Oryzias latipes: one gene and its partners. The protein of the gene in region 3 purifies or fractionates together with the protein of the main gene of each other region. This does not show direct contact. Links are inferred from orthologs where the notes say so. Each region holds a gene or a part of one and is shown on either strand. Other genes may lie near its edges.

Region 1 (3,751 bases), on a different chromosome or scaffold from region 3:
GAATCACAGAAACAAAGCCACTAAACATCAATGGACTCACATCATCGCTTCGAATGTAAGCAGGACGCTGAAAGCACTGAAGCAACAGGTCTTTGATCTGCTTGTTGTCCTCTGACATGTAATCCAGAGTCAGGAGCACATCATGGAGGCTCCACACTCTCTGAATTTCAGCCCCCTGACAAAATAAAAAGACAAAAACGATAAAGCCACCTGGTCCCAATACTTCTATTTCTGAAGCCGCGCCTCTTTTTTGCCTTGGATCTCATGAACTTCATGAGAGATGTTACTGACTGGCTTTTTTGCAGTGAAGCTCTTCTGCAGAGAGATGAGGAAAGCAGCCCGACCAAACTTTTCCATGTCCTGCAGGCCCTTCTTCCACCAGGCCTCATACAGAGTCTGTATGTGGACCTGCAGAGGAACCCCTAACACAGGAAGCAGCTCCAGGAATTCTGAGGAAAGAACCCAAGCAGAACGTTTTCACTGAGATTCACTCAAATGCAACTGGTGTAAGTCTGAAATTCAGATGTCCAGGATATTTTTTAATGGCTCAAATTAAGTTTTGCAAATAATTGTTTTAAAACATGCTGAAGGGTAATTTTTTAAACATTTTCTTTGCAGTTTAGTTAAGTGTGAGTTCAAGGTCAAGCTTACATGGATGAGTGTCATGTGATCAAAAACCTACCCTGCTGTGAAACCTGTAAAGAAACTAAACAGCCAATGATGCATTTAGCCTAAGATAAGACAACTATGCCATCTAGCTGTGTGCCTTAAAACTAGCAAACTGGACGTCTTTATCACAAACTAAAATGTTTTTTTTTAAACAGAATGTTATGCTTCTGAAAAAAAATCCAATGAAAGTTGGATTGATATTTCAGAGAGAAGAGAAGAAGGCCACCCATTTAGCTTTAAATTAGGTGGAAATGTGAACAATGAAACAAGGCGTGAAGTACATCAACATGATATGTGCAAGGTCTACAAAATTGATTACTTTTATGACCAGAAAATGGAAAATTTTGTTCAACAATCAGGCAGAAAGAGGAACTCTTCATGCTTGGTGGATGTAACACAATATTTGGGCTCATTTTTGTATATAGTGTTGCTTTTAAATCCCCAACGTCTCTGCAATAATCTGTCAAAGGGATTAACAAAAAAATGTTCAAAGAAAATGGCTGTAAAAAACAAGAAACTAGTAGATTTATATTTAAAAACCTTACCATGAAGACTGTGAGCAATCTTTAGCAGTTCATTATAGGTGTCTCCTTCCTGTAAAGTCTTTACAGATGCTGCAGCCACCAGCGTCACTGCATCCACGACAGAAGTGGCATGTTTCTGAAAGAGAAGTTGTGGGATGGATGCATGAGAAGATCTCAACAGATGGAAAATTCCTATAGCTAAATGTGATTCTGTATAAAAGAAATGCAATGTTACAAACAAGTTTATTTAGTTAAGTTTAAGCTTAAGAAGAAAAATCTTTCTGATGAGTAAATTGTCACCAGCACTGCAGCCGAGTCTGGCTCCATGTCCTGCTCCTCTGAGTGCTGTGGAGGCAAATCCTTCAGGGTGTTTTGAAGCAGAGACTCCAGTCTCCCCCACAAAACCTCTCTCTGGTTACTGGGCATCTCCTGCACCACCTCCTCAACGTCGAAGGGCTCAGCTGTGTCTCTCTGCTCAGAAGTAAAAAGAAAACCCCAGGTTATGGAATGGAATCAGATTAGGCGAAAAAGATAAGAAAAAGAAACAACTTGTTTATTAAACTGAAAGGATAAATTAATATTTTGGATATGTGTTTATTAAGAACCAAAAATAGTCTCAAACAATATTAATAATCATAAAACAAATTCTTGTCACACAAAGCAAACTACATGCTATGCATTTAAATAAAAAACAGGCAAAATCTATAATTATTATTATTATCATCATTATTATTATCATCATCATTATTATTATAAAGACAAATAAAAGATGTTTGAATTTAATGAGCTATTTTTTTTAATCTAAATTTTAAATTTGCACACAAAAACAGTAGCTAAAACATTGATATTAAAACTGAAAACATAAAATAAAAATAAAAACCTAAAGCTGAGCAATGCATCATATATAAAATAAAACTTTTTGGCGTCCACGCTTGCTTATTTGTTTTAATTTGACATTCAAGGCTTAAAAATCCAATAATTACAAGTCTAACTAGAATTCCAGAAAATAAATAAACACATGGAATAAAACTACGAATAAACTAAAACCAGTACCTTTTTTGCTTCTTAGAAACTTCATTTTTTTAGGGGCTCAGTTGAAATTAAAAACACCCCACAACATCCTAAACTTAAGCCTTTAAAACAACTGCTCTTTACTTACGTGGAGCTCAATGAAGTGAAGAAATTCGTCCACATTTTCTTTACCAGCGGCTTCTAAAAACGCCTCTCGTTTAGACATGATTGCTCCCCAAATTGAAGATTTCTAATACAACAGAAACACTGTTAGCAGTATTTTAGCGGCTACAGTAAACACAAGCTACGAAAAGGAAAACAAACATGGCCGTCTTCTTCTCTTTAGCATTTGTTAGAAGTTGTAAACAAAAATCTATCCACGTCTGCAAAATGTTTACATTATTGTCCAAAGTCAAAAATTCATATTATTAGTTTTATTTCGTTTTTTTACCCTTTTATAATCCGTTTTGAGTCTCGACAGCCGTGAAGTGACAGCCGACCATTACGGCAGCAATCCCCGCGCAAATTTTGATTCGTTTTTGCGTGATGACATCATACGTTCCTGATCCACGAGCCCCGCCCTCTGACGCCATTCATCTTCAGGGGAAACTGCAGTTCCACCTATACCCCACACGGTGGCGACAAACTACTACAGAAGTGTTATTTCACTTCAATCTAATGCAGAATACTCCATTGCTTTATTTTGTTTTATCTTTTACTCCATTGTTTTATTATTATTATTATTTTTAATCTTTTTAGAAATAAAAGTTAAAAAAAATAAAAGCAGGCTTCACAAGAGTAAAGGATTTATTCAAAAGTCACAGGGCATCATATCATTCAAAATAATAATAGTAAAGAAGGCAAAAAAACAAAAACTGGATTTTTAAGGCACGGGATAGATAACAAGAAATGTATTCAAAGTTTCAAACAATTATAACAACATAACAAAACATGTACAAGCAAAGATATAGATGCATTCTCGGCTTTTTGAAAAATCAATCATTTTTGTCTTCACTTAGTTTCTTCAACTGACATGTTTTTGCACAAGCAAACCCTTTTTGCAGTGTTTGTAATGTACAACATTTGTTCATAGCCCTAAAACATAATTTTCCCCCCATCAATATTGCACAAATCTCCTAAAATATACAAAACAAACATTTTATCATTTGCATACAGTTTGTGCATCCAATGTTTTAAATCTAGCATAAAGAACAATTTTTTTTAAACAAAACAACATTGACTGACAACAACAAACAAAGACTGCTACTTCAGCCTCCCTTTCTGTTCCTTTGGTTAGACTTCATAATAAAATTATAATTTAATTTTTCACATTTTGCTAAACAGGGCAGAAATAAATAAGAATTTCAGCAGATTTTACTAAAAAAATCCCATTTTAAAAATATAATGCCACTAAAACCCCTGTAAAATTCTTGTTATTGTGTATCTAATAAGTCTCATTAAATAAAACACTGAAAACAGAAATAGAAGACAGGTCAATTAATCATTACAAAAAAGAAAAAAAAACTGGAAATGTCTTAAAAATCATT
Region 2 (3,651 bases), on a different chromosome or scaffold from region 3:
AGAGAGTCACACGATGAAGACAGAGACTCCTCTCCGTCTGTGCTCAGATCTAACATGGTCCTCGAACCGACGTGTGTGTGCGCATTTATGTGTGCATGTGTATGTGTGTCCACAGGCATACGCGTGTGTGCATGCATGCGTACCCTCTTGCAGCGTGCGTCCGCCTGCAGTAGAGTCTCTCCCAATCACATAGAGAATGCGCAGCAGCTGCAGGACGTCTTCCACCCCGCAGGCGTTCTGGCTGCAGCCCGCCTTGGCCAGGACCGCCTCCTTCGCCCAGCCCAGGATCTCGCTGCTCTGATTGGCTGAACCCGAGCTGGGGCTCAGACCTCCAGAACGACTTCCAACAACGTGCTCAAAGAGGTCCTGCAGGCAGAAGGAGAGCAGACATTAAACATCCTGAAATGTCTGCTCCACCCCCACCCGCCACACAGACTCACCATCTTCCCGCTCTCCTTCTCTTTGTCCGAGTCTTTGAGCTCTCTGTACATGATCCTGCAGGAAAACACACCCACAGTCAAGCTCTGCCTCTGCCAGCCGTTGGCATTCAGACACTTACGTGTACGTCGGCTCCCAGATGCGCCGCAGCTTGTCCGTCTTTACGGCGCCGTTGCAGGAGAGCTGCAGGAGCCGCTGCACATAGTAGAAGATGGTCAACTTGTAGTTGGAGAGCGGGATCTCCACCTCCCGAGCCGTGCCGAGACCCGCCACCTGGGAAAGATGCAGACCTTCAGCGAACGAGATCGAACGGATCTACTGACATATTTCGGCCATCGGTATCTTTTCAGGTACGTGAAGCTATTTTAAATTTCCAGGAAAGTTGTTGTTGTTGCTAAGCTGATGTTTCTCCTCACATCAACTTTGGTTTGTCAAATCACACCATTCTAAAAACTCTCAACATTTCAGAAAACAAAATCTGCTTTTTGAAAATTCAAAATATTTATAAAAAAAACCTTTTTAAAGAACTGTGGAGATATTCTAGGAAGACAGACGCAGAGCTTCATGCAGGCTTTTGCCGTGTCTCACCTTCAGTGTGAGGGCGAGGTGGGGGGATGGGGCACACTCCACCTCCTCCCGAACCTCCGACCGCGGAGTTCCTGAACCGAAACAGAGCGACGTTACGTTTTCTTCCATGGGTGATGAATACGAAGCCTCATCCCCACAGCGATGACCACATGAGCTTTACCTGGTGGGGGGATCTCCAGGTCGGTGGTCTGCTGGACGTTGGTTCTTCCTGGTCTGGGGTCGAAGGCAGGGACCAAAGCAGAAAACTGTCTTTTTAGGACAAAGTCATCGTCCCATGTCCTCCTCCGTCCTCCCTTCGTCTCATACTCCTCCTCCTCCTGGAACGCAGCCCACAAGCGCAGTTGACAGACTGTTGGCTTCGGTGTGAACAAACGAGGAGCGAGGAGAGCAAACAACACACCAGGACCTCCTCATACTCCTGATCCTCCTGATTGTCGTCTTCATTCTCATCGTCGTCGTCGTCGGGCTCTGGGAGGTCCTCCTCATCGTCCAGCTCTGCTAGCAGCGTGTTGGCCCGGCAACTGTCCAGGAAGTCTGCAGGACATCCCAGGAAGCACAAAGAGAGATGAAGAACGCTGAGGAGATCCAGCGAACCTCCAACATCCACATTTAGAAGAAGAGACGCTTCTATGTCCTGATCACAACCACTAATGAAAATAAGAGTTTTTGGGGGTTTTAACCTGTTCTTGTGGCAATTTTCTGATAATGGAAGGCAAAAAACTAAGCTTAAAATTAAATTCTGGGTATTTCTTTCTTCTGCATCCTGTGATTCAGGAACAGACAGGAAAAAGCGGTTTGAAAAAGGTTGCATTTGTGACATTGAAAACACTCTGGGCAGGGCTGCAAGCTTCCTGCTTCTAGCTCTCAACAACAGGGAGAGGGGAAAGGGGGCGGGGATGCTCTGCACCAACAACCCACAACACAGACGTGAATTTCTAATGAACTCCTGTGGCTCTGCAGAAACTATGTCCTTGAAATCAACAGTTTTTTTTAAGAGTTTGGCCAAAAACGCCATCGTCGTGATGAAAAGACCACTGGGAACGCTTTGGAAGTGGATCCAAAGTGGGGTTTAATATTCCAACGACAACGACTCGGATTTCAATTCTCACTTTGAGAAAATGTAAAGAACAATTTAAGACATAAAACTATCAAGAACAAAAAAGTAAACGCATCGTTTATCAGCCTCTAAGGATGCGTTTAATCTTTTTTTTTTAGCTCAGACTGTTGTTAGGGAGCAGGTTAGTGAAGCAGGCCGTGTGTGTTCATGTGTTTGTGTGTTTTAGTGGGTGTGTGTGAACAAACCATAGAGGGAGAACTCGGCCTCCTGTCCCGTGTCGCTCTCGCTGGATGTGGAGGTTAAGCTGGTTGTCAGTGTGTTGCTTAGCAACTGTCCCACAGACAGCCCCGTGGTGGCTGTGGCTACATTATTACCGCAGGTTACTATGGAGGTTGACATGGTAACGGTGGAGGTGGTGCCAGTGGTGGTGAGGTTAGGAAAGCTCTGAGCGCCCATAAGAGGAGATGCTGAAAACAAACAACAGCAGCAGTTAGTCGTTCAGAAACCGAAGAGTCCGGTCAGCTGACAGGAAACAGCTGAGGGATCTCTCAACCACCACAACAAGAAAAGCAGCTGTTTTATGGGGAAGACTTCCTGACGCCTGTGTCATGTGATCTGGATTGGAAAAATAAAGTTCCGAATAGAGGATCTGGGAGCTTCGACCACAACCCTCCTGTTAGGGTGAGGAGGCTTCATCACACTGCTCTTCATTAGTCTTCATCAGTAATATGTTAGTTTAAAAACTATTATAGGTTATTCAAGACAGTAGTTCCCAAAACCCAGGCCACGGACTGGTGCGTAAAGAAAAAACATGACCTACATTCTTTCCTTTTTGTTTATAATCTGATTCTTGAAGTTTTATTCTGGAAAACCACTGGATTCTAGACCATGTCCGACATGTCAAGTGGCTCGATCACGTGTCCGCCATCCGCTTCTTTCTTAAAGCGGCTGCTCCGACGCCTAAACGGAAGCTCCTAGCTAGCAACGTTGACGAAAAACCAACATCTGGAAAATTTCTTTTGGCAGAAAAGATCCAGTGAGGAAACAGAAGAATAACCTTCCACTTCAAACTAAAAGAAATCTGTACTAAACAGACAAAAACTTGGAGTCTTTATTCTAAATATGGATTTATTGCAACAGTTGTTCCCACAGACCATAATATTATGCATAATATTCAGTAACTGTAACTGTCTAATGTTATAAGAATGCTGCTAATAAAGTTGTCCAAACGGTGGGTTCAAGTTTATTTGTATATTTAGAAAATACCTGGTTTTAATGACCATTTTTAAAATCATCTCAATAGTCAGACCAGTTGTAAAGTGAGGTCTGATTTTTAGCTTCCACTTTGACAGTTTGGGGTTTCGGGGAAATCTAGATCACATTTTATTGGCTCCTACATGAAATCTAGTCCACAAATAAAGTTTACAGCATCTGCAGATGTTTTACAGAGGTGAAGGTGAACTATACCCTCAAAAGTATTGAGACTTTTCTCTCCTGCTTTCTGCCTGAAAGCTGCCCTGATCCCTCCAGAGATGTGAATGTGTGATGAAGCTGGTACTCACTGGCTG
Region 3 (3,751 bases):
TTTCCAATAAAAAACCGGATTTCTTTGTGTTCAAACTGGAACTGCAGCGTTATTTAAACTTAATTTCTGCTTCAAAAAATACAAAAGCTCAAAAAACAATTAGCATCTGTAAATCTTTTGGACCGCTGACATAGATTTACTCTCGCATTTTCTCTTTTCTCTTTTTTTTTTTTTGTTTCTTTTTATTTCTTATTCCCTTTTGTGTTTATTATTAATAATTAGTATTTTTTAAAGAATGCAACATGTTTGTTCTGTATTTAGAATTTTATTGTACATTATATGTGCATAATTGTTGTATTTTCTTGTTTTGTATGTTGCAATTGTTCAATAAAAAAAAAAAAAAAAAAAAAAAAAAAAACTTCGTTCCCAAAACGTTTTAACCAACGGCTTCAAAGAGAGTTGAGTTTGAGAAAGAAGATTCTACTCTCAAAAGCAGAAGGGATTTCTCAACTTACTTATTTTGCTTTGTCTCTACACTTGGACAATCAGACTCTTAAATCTATTGCCCAAATGTTGTTAAATTTCATCTGGAAAAATCATATTTATTTAAAAAAAATCTGTATTAATGAACTATAAAAAAGGAGGCTTAAATTTTCTTAAATTTTACTTCTTTAAATAATACTTTAAAATAAACTTGATTAAATCATATTTAAAAATTCCACTTTCCATCTGGAATATTTTCCCTCATCACATTTTTGCTAACACATGGTCTCCATTTTTTTCTCCTTTGTCATTATAATATTGACAAAATCCCAGTTAAACTCTGCTTTTCACAGACAGATTCTTCTTTCATGGGCACTTACTCACAAATTTTCCCCTCATAACTCTTTTGTTTGGAATAGCGTATATACTTTACAAGAACAAATCATTATTTTACAATAATTGTTTTAATAAAGATATCCTACTGGTGGGTCAGCTTTTTAACCACAATGGACAATAAAACTCAGATATAAAGAATTTAACCTTAAGTATTATGGAGTCCTATACTGTTCATAATCCTGTGGCATTCTCACTGTTATGGCTAATGTTGTTGTCCTGCATACTTGTTCTACATGTGTTAAACAATAAAGTATTTTTAAAAAAGTACAGTGTGCGCCAATCACCCGATGGTTTAGGGATTTAGCTGCCCCGGTATATGCCTACAAAATGCATTGACAAAACGTTTAAATAAACATAATTGAACTGGTCTGAATAAATTATAGCAAATTACGGACCAAGTCTTTTATGTTTATTTTCTTTCAATTTTCTGTCAAATTATATTACATATGGATTTTTTTGTTTTGACTCCGGCATGATGAATGGCCTACTGTCGACCGAAAGTTTTCTTAGTGTGTGTTTACCGCCAAAATTCAAGTTAGACGACAGTCTTTTGGTTTGATATAAACATTGGGCTGTTGCTTTGCTCGCCGCATTTTTCTTTTAACTGACTTGTCGCTGAAACGGATATTTTCTGTGGCGTTTGTTTCGGCAAGACAAGATAAGTAACGATGTACATTAAATCAATAATTATCGAAGGATTTAAATCTTACGCACAGAGGACAGAAATTAACGGCTTCGACCCGCTATTCAATGCCATCACGGGACTGAACGGCAGTGGCAAGTCCAACATCTTGGACTCGATATGTTTCCTTTTGGGGATTTCCAACCTCTCACACGTAAGGACGTTTCCGCATGTTTCCATTGATTAAAGTAAAAAAAAAAGCAGCTTTGCCTTCTTTTAATAGCAAAAAAAACAGTAATTCTGTTCTATTTTATTTAAAAGGTTCGAGCTTCAAACCTTCAGGACTTGGTTTACAAGAACGGCCAGGGTGGCATCACCAAGGCCACTGTGTCTATTACTTTTGACAACTCCAATAAGAGCCAGAGCCCTCTGGGGTTTGAAACCCACGATGAGATCACTGTAACCAGACAGGTCAGGAAAGTACACAATTATTTAATATCCCAATTTATAAAGCATTTTTTAAAACTTGATCACAAACGTTTTCTTCATAAAGGTTGTCATAGGAGGCAGGAACAAATATCTGATCAATGGGGTCAATGCCAACAACACCAGGGTGCAGGACTTGTTCTGCTCTGTTGGCCTCAACGTTAACAACCCTCATTTCCTCATCATGCAGGTCAGCTTTGCATCTTAAACATTGAGAGTTTTCAGAAATTGCTAAACAAAATCATTCGTTTGACCTTTGGGGTCTTTTTTTTTTTTTTACTTATTTAGGGAAGAATAACCAAGGTTTTGAATATGAAACCACCAGAGGTATGTACTTTGTTTGATGAAAAAAAAAGTATAATAGAAACACTTTTGTTAGTACTAATATACTATTTGTCTCTAGATTCTTGCTATGATTGAGGAGGCAGCAGGCACCAGAATGTACGAATGTAAAAAGATCAGTGCACAGAGAACAATTGAGAAGAAAGAGGCCAAGCTGAGAGAGATTCAGACTGTATGTCTACCATCTGTTATTCAAGTTTCTTGTGGTTTTTGGGGAAACAAGCAGCTGCAAACTTTGTTCTATGTTTCCTGACGTTTAGATTTTGGATGAAGAGATTACTCCAACTATGCAAAAGCTGCAAGAGGTGAGCTAAATGTTTTTTATTTATTTTTTATTTCAACATTTGTGTAATGATTTAAGGATATGCTTTAAATGTTCTTTGATGCACAGGAAAGATCCTCCTATTTGGAGTACCAGAAGCTGATGCGTGAGATCCAGCACTTGTCACGACTTTATGTGGCCTGGCTGTTTGTGTGTGCCGAGGAGACTAAAGTCAAGTCGGCTGAAAATCTGAAGGTGATGCAAGGCAACATTGTCAAGATGCAGGCCAAAGTTTCAGAGAATGAGAGCAAAATCCAGGAGCTTTCTGCTCAGATTCAAGAGCTTCAGAAGAAAAATGACCAGGTACTGAAAGAGAAATAAAAGAAAAAAAATATTTGTATGTTTTGTGTGGCTCTGACACACTTTTGGTGTTTATTTTAAGGAGGTAAACGGAGAATTAAAAACCTTGGAGATGTCTCTTGCAAGTGTGCAGCGTGAGGATGCCAAAGCTCAGAGCAGTCTCGACTTAAAAAAGCAGAATCTGAAAGATGAAACCAAAAAGAGGAAAGAGCTCGTGAAGAGCATGGAGGAGGTAATGGATTCATTTGTGCTTCTCATTGGTGGCTGCAAGATTTTTACTTTATCAAGCTTATTGGTCTCGGTCATTCTTTTTAGGACAAGAAAGTGCTCGTGGTGAAGGAAAAAGAAGTGAGCAAGTTGTCCGAACAGCTTCAGGCACTGCAGGTGGAAGGACAGAAAAACACAGCTGAACTTGAGGCAGCTGAGCAGCATTTCAAAGCTGTGTCGGCGGGTCTTTCTACCAACGAGGACGGCGAGGAAGCCACTTTAGCTGGGCAGATGATGGCCTGCAAGAACGAGATGAGCAAAGCAGACACAGAGGCCAAGCAGGTGGAGAAAAGAGACACTTTTGATGTGCAGTGGCTTGACGTCCTGCACACCTGCTGCTTCTCCGTTGAATTATTTGATCCGAAACCCAACCATTTCCATCTTTGCACAGGCCCAAATGACCCTGAAGCATGCCCAGGCAGAGCTGAAGACCAAACAAGCGGAGATGAAGAAGATGGACAGCGGCTACAAGAAAGATCAGGACACCTTTAAGGCCGTCAAAAGCAGCCGAGAGAAACTGGAGGCGGAGCTGGCCAAACTCAACTATGAAGGTGCAGCATTCTCCTGAAAATAAAAGACGAATGTTGTAAAAG

The links.
Region 1: the proteins of smc2 (region 3) and ncapg2 purify together in Homo sapiens (affinity purification with western blotting; 4 studies listed by BioGRID and IntAct, with this or other methods). This does not show direct contact. The link is inferred for Oryzias latipes from reciprocal best matches to the Homo sapiens genes SMC2 and NCAPG2.
Region 2: the proteins of smc2 (region 3) and hectd1 purify together in Homo sapiens (affinity purification with mass spectrometry; 3 studies listed by BioGRID, with this or other methods). This does not show direct contact. The link is inferred for Oryzias latipes from reciprocal best matches to the Homo sapiens genes SMC2 and HECTD1.

What each region holds. Positions count from the first base shown.
Region 1 is NC_019878.2:19,856,063-19,859,813, forward strand, and holds the start of ncapg2 (condensin-2 complex subunit G2), read right to left. Parts: upstream 2,762-3,751; 5' UTR 2,656-2,761; intron 2,455-2,655; 5' UTR 2,431-2,454; coding exon 2,353-2,430; intron 1,665-2,352; coding exon 1,494-1,664; intron 1,330-1,493; coding exon 1,215-1,329; intron 450-1,214; coding exon 292-449; intron 176-291; coding exon 41-175; intron 1-40. UniProt on the Homo sapiens protein: Regulatory subunit of the condensin-2 complex, a complex which establishes mitotic chromosome architecture and is involved in physical rigidity of the chromatid axis.
Region 2 is NC_019880.2:2,616,751-2,620,401, forward strand, and holds part of hectd1 (E3 ubiquitin-protein ligase HECTD1), read right to left. Parts: coding exon 3,646-3,651; intron 2,551-3,645; coding exon 2,329-2,550; intron 1,561-2,328; coding exon 1,427-1,560; intron 1,344-1,426; coding exon 1,187-1,343; intron 1,098-1,186; coding exon 1,027-1,097; intron 712-1,026; coding exon 560-711; intron 496-559; coding exon 441-495; intron 367-440; coding exon 144-366; intron 1-143. UniProt on the Homo sapiens protein: E3 ubiquitin-protein ligase which accepts ubiquitin from an E2 ubiquitin-conjugating enzyme in the form of a thioester and then directly transfers the ubiquitin to targeted substrates.
Region 3 is NC_019859.2:11,204,890-11,208,640, forward strand, and holds the start of smc2 (structural maintenance of chromosomes protein 2), read left to right. Parts: upstream 1-1,328; 5' UTR 1,329-1,487; coding exon 1,488-1,655; intron 1,656-1,762; coding exon 1,763-1,912; intron 1,913-1,994; coding exon 1,995-2,117; intron 2,118-2,215; coding exon 2,216-2,254; intron 2,255-2,330; coding exon 2,331-2,441; intron 2,442-2,529; coding exon 2,530-2,574; intron 2,575-2,660; coding exon 2,661-2,894; intron 2,895-2,973; coding exon 2,974-3,123; intron 3,124-3,206; coding exon 3,207-3,440; intron 3,441-3,549; coding exon 3,550-3,709; intron 3,710-3,751. UniProt on the Homo sapiens protein: Central component of the condensin complex, a complex required for conversion of interphase chromatin into mitotic-like condense chromosomes.